2 linked regions of the Xenopus tropicalis genome follow. The protein of the gene in region 2 interacts with the protein of the main gene of each other region in a biochemical or structural test. Links are inferred from orthologs where the notes say so. Each region holds a gene or a part of one and is shown on either strand. Other genes may lie near its edges.

Region 1 (3,828 bases), on a different chromosome or scaffold from region 2:
ATATTCGGGGTATTTAGGCTAATTCAGAATTATAACGATTGTTAAGGGCGCAGTCGGTTCGGGGGCCGCATCAACGAGCCGATGTGGTCCCCGATCCGACTGAATCTTGTAACCTGCCCGATCTATATCTGGCCAATTTCAGGCCAGATATCAGTCAGGCAGGCCAGTCGTTGCTGCCCCTACATGGGCCTACAATCGTGTATGGCCACCTTTATACTCAGTAGGGGAAACAATAGATTATCTGAAAGCAGTTCTAATGTGTAATGTGTTTAATGTGGCTCCTTCTGAAAGCTCAGGCACAATGTACTGAGATTGCTATGTAATCAGTGTAATTTACAAATAAAAATTACAACCTGTAAATCATGACAATCCCTTTAATGCATTAAATGTTTGGGGGACTAAACACCCAAAACAAATTAATGTAAAATTGCTTAAACGAATGCTGTTTACATTATTTGTTGTTTCCTTTACAAAAATACTGCCTGAAGCACGATTCCCACCTTGAACCATAAAAAGCCCCCCTTGTTTTGTTTTTTTTTTTTTCTCTGCTTACATTACTGATTGGTCATAATACTGTTCTACAATTCTAGGGATACCGCAGGACAGGAACGGTTTCGTACAATCACCACTGCATATTACCGAGGGGCGATGGTAAGTGATAAAATAAGGTTGCACATCCACACTGCATTTCAATTGGTTAGTACACTTTCATGCGAGGATTTTCTTTTCCTGAAATGTAAACAGTAATTCAGCAAGCTAATTCAGCAAGCCCCCCCCACCCCCCCCCCCAGCCCATCTATTTTTTTTAACCACACAAGCAAAAATTATATCCCAGCATTAATTACAAGTAGGGTAAGTGGGGCTTGAGGTGGGTTTGCATGTGATAAAGTCTTGTTTCTTTGAGCCTTTTTCTAAGATAGCTTCAGTAATGCTGCTGAAGCTGGGGGGATCAGGATTCATAGTTGTCAGGACAGAATAAGATACAGCTGGGTAGGAGTATAGGAATTTATTTGTTATCTTGCCCTTTGCTGTTCTTTGCATGGTAGGAGGCATTTAACCCATTGGTGTCCTCTGCAATGAGAGATTATAGGAAGATTTTGACAGATGTCTACTTTACCCTTATAATCTCTGGTATCTCAATACGTGGAGTATTTATATTGCTGAACAAAAAATAATTTTAATATCAAGAGAACAAGGATGTAAACAATAGGTGTTGGTTAATAAGAGACAAATCACAACAATAAGCCTAGTGGTACATTTCATTAGAACTGCTACAAGAGGTGCTCACTTCTGCTATTGCAAAAACAATACGTCACTTTGGCACCCTGATAAGTAACTTCTGCTTTGCGGTATATTGTTATCTTTAATTATTATTATCCTTTACAGAGCACCGGTATATTACAAATTGCTTTACAGGAAAATGCTTAATCATTCACACCAGTCCCTGCCCTTGTCAAACTTTCCTGCCACACACACACAAATACAAACACAATGGTCAGTTTCATCAGCAGCCAGGTGACTTACAAGGATATATTTGGGAGGAAACCCACACAAACATAATGAGAACATACTGTGAGGAATCGGTGCTTACCATTAGACTCCTGTAACCTTTTCTAGCACTGATTTCAGAGAGCACTGTATCACTTTTTTTCAACTTAAGTGGCCTACTATAGTGCTTACAATTAAAAGAAAACTTAAACCCCCAACCTCCCTTTTTAAATGTATTCCCACATTCTCAGGGCCCCCTTCTCCTTCCCAACTGCATAGACCTCTGTGTGAAACCCCATGAGACCCCCATACCTGGTATGTAAATTTAGAGTTGTGCAACAGGGTTGGATGGTGTTATATTCGGCCATGAGACATTCAGTATTGGCTAACATGGTTAGTTAAGCAAGCTGAACTAACCTAATAATGTGGTATATTGACTAATGAATGGTTTGTCGGTGAGATTGAGCAGGTTTCCTGATTAATTCCAATACACGTTGCATCAAAATGTGATCAGTTAAAACAACTGTTCAGAACCTGTTTCCAAAAATTCACATGAAGTGTTCACGGTTCACCTGATATCCTGTTTCGGCCAGCTTGTGACACATTCATGGTTACAAGGAATTGATGTATAATTGATTAGGATCTTATTTTAGCAACCAAACCAATGATTGTTGCACAAGGATTGCCTGTGTTCTACTTCTTTTACTAAATACAGAGGTGGTGGCATATAAATATGTGTATGCATAGAAATGATATGTGACAATCTCACAGGGAAATTATTAAACACTTACGTGTATTTTCATAAACCAGTTTAAACTAAGAGCTAAATGACTGTACACATATATTCTAAAACAGTATAAAATAAACAAGTTGTACTTTCTTTCTTGTCATTGCATTACTGTTGGATATCATTTCATAAGGAAACATTTTTTTTCTTTTAGGGAATTATGTTGGTGTATGATATCACCAATGAAAAATCCTTTGACAATATTAAAAACTGGATCAGAAACATTGAAGAAGTACGTATTCATTTTTAGCCTAGAACTGTTATATTTTTTTTTATAGATCTGGACTTCCTTTTTATTCAAGCACAAGTACCTGTAGCATGATTTGGCAATGGCAATGTGGTTTCTCATTAAAAAGAAAGAATATCGTCTCTCTGCAACAAATCTATTCACCTGAAATTCTTGTTCCAGCAGAAAGTATGTTCTGTAGAGAGCTTGGCACAGGTTTATGCAAGTGTGCCACATACCTGATAAAGCAGGTGCACACAGGTCCTGGCTGGGATTCGCAAGAGGCCCTGGCATTTCAAGTACACAGAGGCCCAAACAGTCCCCCACCAGTCCACTAAATAGTGACTGTCTGTGGCACCTTACAGCAACCCCTCTGGCATCTGCCAGAATCTACAGCCAATTTGGGGGCAGGTGCATATAAGAGAAGTATCATGGGCATATTTGCTTTTGTCTTGACTGATCATATTTATTTTTAGTGGGGAGAAAAGCAGTGTACCTTTATATATGTTATAGATAGTGGAATATTTCTATTTTTAATTATAATTCAAACAAACAAAATTCTCTCTTCACCAGCATCTGGTTTGCACTTTTCCGCACTAATAATTTTTTTTTTTTTTTATTGATAGCTCTACAAAGAGAAAGCAAATAAGTGAATTATGTTGGACATTAAATTGGTCTCACATGCCAATTTGGTCATGTGCTCCCAACTCAAGCATAGCATGGTCCAAATGTGGGCCCATAATGGCCATTGTCTATATTTTTGGCAGTTTGGGGATCAGAAGGGCCTTTCATTTTACCAGTTTAGTTTGTTTGAATGACTGGGATACAAGGAAGGAAGGAAGGAAGGCTGTTCTCCCAGTTACCATATATACTGGGCCAATGTGATCACTAGCCAAACAGATTTTTCCTACATTATTATCATCATCATGTATTTATAAAGCACCAACATATTCCACAATGTTTTACAATATACATTGAACAGATTTACATACAAAACAGCCAATAACTAATAAAAGAGGTAAAGATGGCTCTGGTGATCTTTGTATGACCAGCATGTATGATGTATGACCATCTGTCAGACTTTTGATTGCATGACAAGCCACTTTGACTTCAAAGCGTGATAGGAAAACTAATGTTTGATACCATCATACTATTCTGACTGACAAGTTCTCGATGCAAATATAAACCTTTACACTCTTTGCCTTCCAGCATGCATCCTCTGATGTTGAGAAAATGATCCTAGGAAACAAATGTGATGTGAATGAAAAGCGACAAGTTTCCAAAGAGAAGGGTGAAAAGGTAAGAGTTATTTAACAGTTTTGGTGTT
Region 2 (4,403 bases):
GAATGTTGCTATCAGTATAGCTCTGGTGCACCATCTGAACACCCAAAAATAAATATAAATCCAGTTTTTACATGCCTGAAGCTACGGACTGAAATGAAGCCATAATATTCAATAGCCATTTCCCAAAATCCCTTAGGCTCACAGTGTTGTGCAAACCCTCCCCCTATCTTGTTCCATTGTGAAGTGATGTATTTTAGAACTTTAGTGCTTTCCATAGTTGGTTGTGCACAGATTACCTGGAAGTCAGAAGGACACTTCACAATAGAACAAGGTGAAGGAGCAGGTACCTGCAGCACAGACACACAAATTCCTTTCAATCTATGGAATCAGATATGTCTGTATCTGTAGTAAGTCAAATCAACTGGACTTGCTGTGTTTTTTTTTCTTGAAGACGTTTCGCCAGTCATCCAACTGGCTTTCACAATTCAGAAATTACTACAGATATACCATGACCTGGATGACCTGAGCATCTTTACAAACGGATATGTCTGTGTTAAAAAAAACCTTATTTTTGGAAATTTGTTTATGCATTTTTTCTGCACAAGCCCAACTATATGAGCTCATGTTCAATTAAATGTCATCATCGTACACATAAAGAACCAGTTTTGTAAGGGCCATGGCCCATGGGTAGATTTGTTTCCCACAGTAAAACTACTCTCCCTGATACGCCTTCCAACTGGCAATTAAGTGAATCGCTGGTGGGAAAGTACAAGCAGGGGAAAACGTTGAGTGACTTTGGAAAACAAAGCAACATCTTCCCACTGGTGATTCAGTTTATTGCCAGTGGGAAGGTGTTTTTTGAAGATTATTCGCCCTTGGTAGCACAGATTTAACAGCAGGAGACTAGTGTCCCAGTGGGCCATGGCCCTAACTTGTGTGCCTACTAAATGACGTGTGCATACAAAACGCTTTGTGTGGGAACTTGTGACAGTTCTGACACCAGCTTAGTTCCACCAGTTTAGAGGGAACACTACAGAACAGTTTTATAATACTGCTATTAGTTATGGTAATAACATGTTTATACAACGATTATAGTTGAGATTTGAACAAGAAGTAAACGCATGAAATCAGTGTAAAATCTGTGCAATGGGACACACTCTGGGGTGATGTTAAAACCGATCCACTGGAAGGAGAAGCACTGCATAAACTACCTGCACGCTGCCGGCATCCTTCCAATCTGCCATCATGGCAGAAACCTATATTTCTTCTAAAATAGCTGGGCACACTCAGTCCTACTGCGGTTACTTAGATGATAAAGATTTGTTATTATTCCTGTCAAATCCTTTCCTATCCCGCATTTCCATTCAGTACATTGATCTTCCTGTGCGCACCCTCTTTCCCCTCCCACACGGCTGTGACTCCTTTGCAGGTGCGGTCACTTTAAGAATTGTGTGCCTCTCCCCTCCAGTCCCAGGCAGCAGCTGGGAAACTTTCAGCTCATTCCCTTTCTCGGTCTAGCGCTCTGCTTTTCCGCATTGTGTGGCGAGCAACCTTGTTACCGAGCTCTCCCGCCGCAGCCATAGCCCAGCCGTGGAGCTTCCTGTGAGCGCAGGTAAGAGCCATACTCAGCAACTGTGCGCACCACAAACCGGATCTGGGAAAGTTCCTTCCAGGCTGGCCGGCCAGTAGGCACTCACCTCTCCCTTGTATTTTCTATGGTGGGAATTACAGGTCCTTGTTCTACTTCAAACGCCCGTACGCCATTGCCCTAAGGGCAAGGCTTATAATAAAATGCACAATAGGAGGCTGAACAGGGCATTCATCCTTCAGGGCTGCAAGCAGCACAACTATGGGGTACCCAGTCTTTAGTGGGCTCTTAAAACAAATATTTGGTACTGTGGGTATAGCATACATGGTTCAGAATCTTACACTTCTATGGCGACCCCAGTGGGGAAAAAAGGATTTGGATGGTGGCCCTACAGCTAGATTCTCTACAGCCCTCTATAGAGAGGTGTAACTTGATCTTCTCAGGCCCCCTTAATGGACAGTGGATATTCCTGGCATATTCCATAAATCTGAAGAGTTCTCACCTATGTCTTTAGGTGGTAGCGATCCTACTGGCATTTCGGAGACCTTTTTTTTCTATGTTACTGTGTTTCATGTGAAGAGGAACTAGATTTAAGATATTCCAGGAATGGGTCATGATCAACCGAAAGACATGGGCTTAGTTGACATCTCTGAGCATGTCTCTTTAAAGTGCTGTATTGGCATTTGTTGCAGTCTTCTGATTGTTGTTGCAAACATTAGTATATCAATGGGGATCCAGCGATTCTGTTTGTAACAGATGCCAGTGTTTAAAGCAACATTACCATTTATCCTGGCACTGTATAGTGACAAGTAAGAGGGGCCTGGATGAGTTTTTGAACAAGCAGAATATCCAGGGCTATTGTGATACTAATATCTACAGTTAGTATTACTGGTTGTATATATAGTTTATGTATGTGAGTGTATAGATTGGTTAGTATAGGTTGTGTGCTGGGTTTACTCGGATGGGTTGAACTTGATGGACAATGGTCTTTTTTCAACCCTATGTAACTATGTAACTACTATCCTTTAATTTGCCATGGAACGCAAATCTCTGAGCTCTGTTTTTCTTAAACCGCATTAAAGAGGTTACATTCAATTTCCTTAATACTTTGCTTAGTTTGGCAATCTCAAAAATGTTTGTAACAATGTCACATAGTGCCCTGGCATTGCAGCAGAAGGGGCTTGGTTTTATAAAATGATTTTAAAATAATAATTTTGGCAATCAAACTTAACATGAGCAGGGAATGATTTGGGCAAGGAAGGTTTTTGAAAAGAGCAGGTTATGATCTGGGCAAGAAAAACTATTGACCTAAGCAGGGATGTTCAACCTGTAGACCTCTGGCAATTTAACCAGTCTGTGGGTTTTAAGTTCAGTTTAGAAACAGATGGAGTACTTGTCATCTCTGACATACAGATACACATTCATTAGCAGTGGGAACATATTGTGGAACTACTGTTTGTTTCCTAGAGCCAATATAAATATCTGTACCCAGCCCTATAGACGTCTGTGCAGTGCCAATATTTGTGTAACACAGTATGCATGGCTGAATGGTAAGGCTTGCTCAGTGTTTACCTCTGGCTTCTGTGATTGAGGAGCATTTTAGCTGCTGTCTTTTTTTTTTTTTTTTTTATACTGACACATTTCTTTTTCAAGTCCCATGTAAAGGGAAATGTAATGTAAAAACAGTTTTTTCTTAATAAAATTGAATTATAAGCAACTTTCCAATATAAATTCATTAAAAAATATTGGTTTTAAAATGAATGGTAGATGTAATTGCTTTTGAAATCAGTACCTGTCTAGCTGTTTATATTCTTTGCAGTTTTGGTTCTGTCTCCTAAATCAATCAAGCAGAGGCCAGCTGATTAATAGACCTGGAAGAAAACTGATGTTCACTATATTGTTTCTGGAATCAGAACCAGACAACAGAAAGGAAACATAAATACTTCTTTCAGCAGATATTAACTTTACAAACAATGTTAAAACCATTGACATTTTTTATAAATGTATATTGGAAAGTTGCTGTATTTAGTGCCCCCCCAGTTTGCAAACTGCGCATGATGTTACATCTGACCATGATGCATTACATTGGGTCAGGTACCCCAGATTTGCACAGCAAGTCTCCAGTGGTAACTGGGGAGGTTTTATTTTTCCTAAAAAATAATACAAAAAAATCTCTTGGGCACCTGAGTGCCTATATATAAATACAGCTCCGTGCTTAGAATTACATTGTCTTTTTAGCATGCAAATATAGTTATTAGGTGGAGATAGATCTCCTTTATATTCTCTGTACTGAAACATTTTGACCTTGTGGTTTATTGTAAGCTAAGGTAAAATCAATATGTCAGTTTTTAAATGCAAGTTTGTTAATACAGTGCACAGCCTTTCCATCTACTCTCACAGCTGGTTCATTATAAAGCATGGCAATTAACTGGTAGTCTGATTGTAGGGGAAGTTAACCTTTTAATTCTGCAGGGTGACAAATAAGATACTATCTGGGCTGGTGACCCCAATAACCCAAACATTGCATTGCACAAAAGGCTGAAACACTCTAATTTTTTTTATGTATCTGAGCACTTTTTAGTAGTCATTTTAACATTAAACCAAGTGACTGATTACTAGCAGTGCTGTAACTCCAAATAAGTGGAGCTTGCAACTGCAGGGAACAGTGGGGAGAAGAAACTTGTTGAGATCCCCTTTATCCTGGTTGCACCCTCCCTCCTACCCACACATCCAAGCCAAACATGCACAGGTATGCCAAAGCGACTTGGAGAAGCCCCAAAATGATTTTGTTAGTGGACCCTGGTAAAGGAAAGTTGTCACCACTGATAGCAAACATCAAGCTTTCCTATTTATACCATTGTCCACTTTGTAAAAT

The links.
Region 1: the proteins of sytl4 (region 2) and rab8a form a complex in vitro, tested with the Homo sapiens proteins (2 studies listed by BioGRID). The link is inferred for Xenopus tropicalis from reciprocal best matches to the Homo sapiens genes SYTL4 and RAB8A.

Annotation. Positions count from the first base shown.
Region 1 is NC_030677.2:104,432,264-104,436,091, forward strand, and holds part of rab8a (ras-related protein Rab-8A), read left to right. Parts: intron 1-590; coding exon 591-651; intron 652-2,429; coding exon 2,430-2,507; intron 2,508-3,710; coding exon 3,711-3,800; intron 3,801-3,828. UniProt on the Homo sapiens protein: The small GTPases Rab are key regulators of intracellular membrane trafficking, from the formation of transport vesicles to their fusion with membranes.
Region 2 is NC_030684.2:64,656,443-64,660,845, reverse strand, and holds the start of sytl4 (synaptotagmin-like protein 4), read left to right. Parts: upstream 1-1,344; 5' UTR 1,345-1,552; intron 1,553-4,403. UniProt on the Homo sapiens protein: Modulates exocytosis of dense-core granules and secretion of hormones in the pancreas and the pituitary. Interacts with vesicles containing negatively charged phospholipids in a Ca(2+)-independent manner.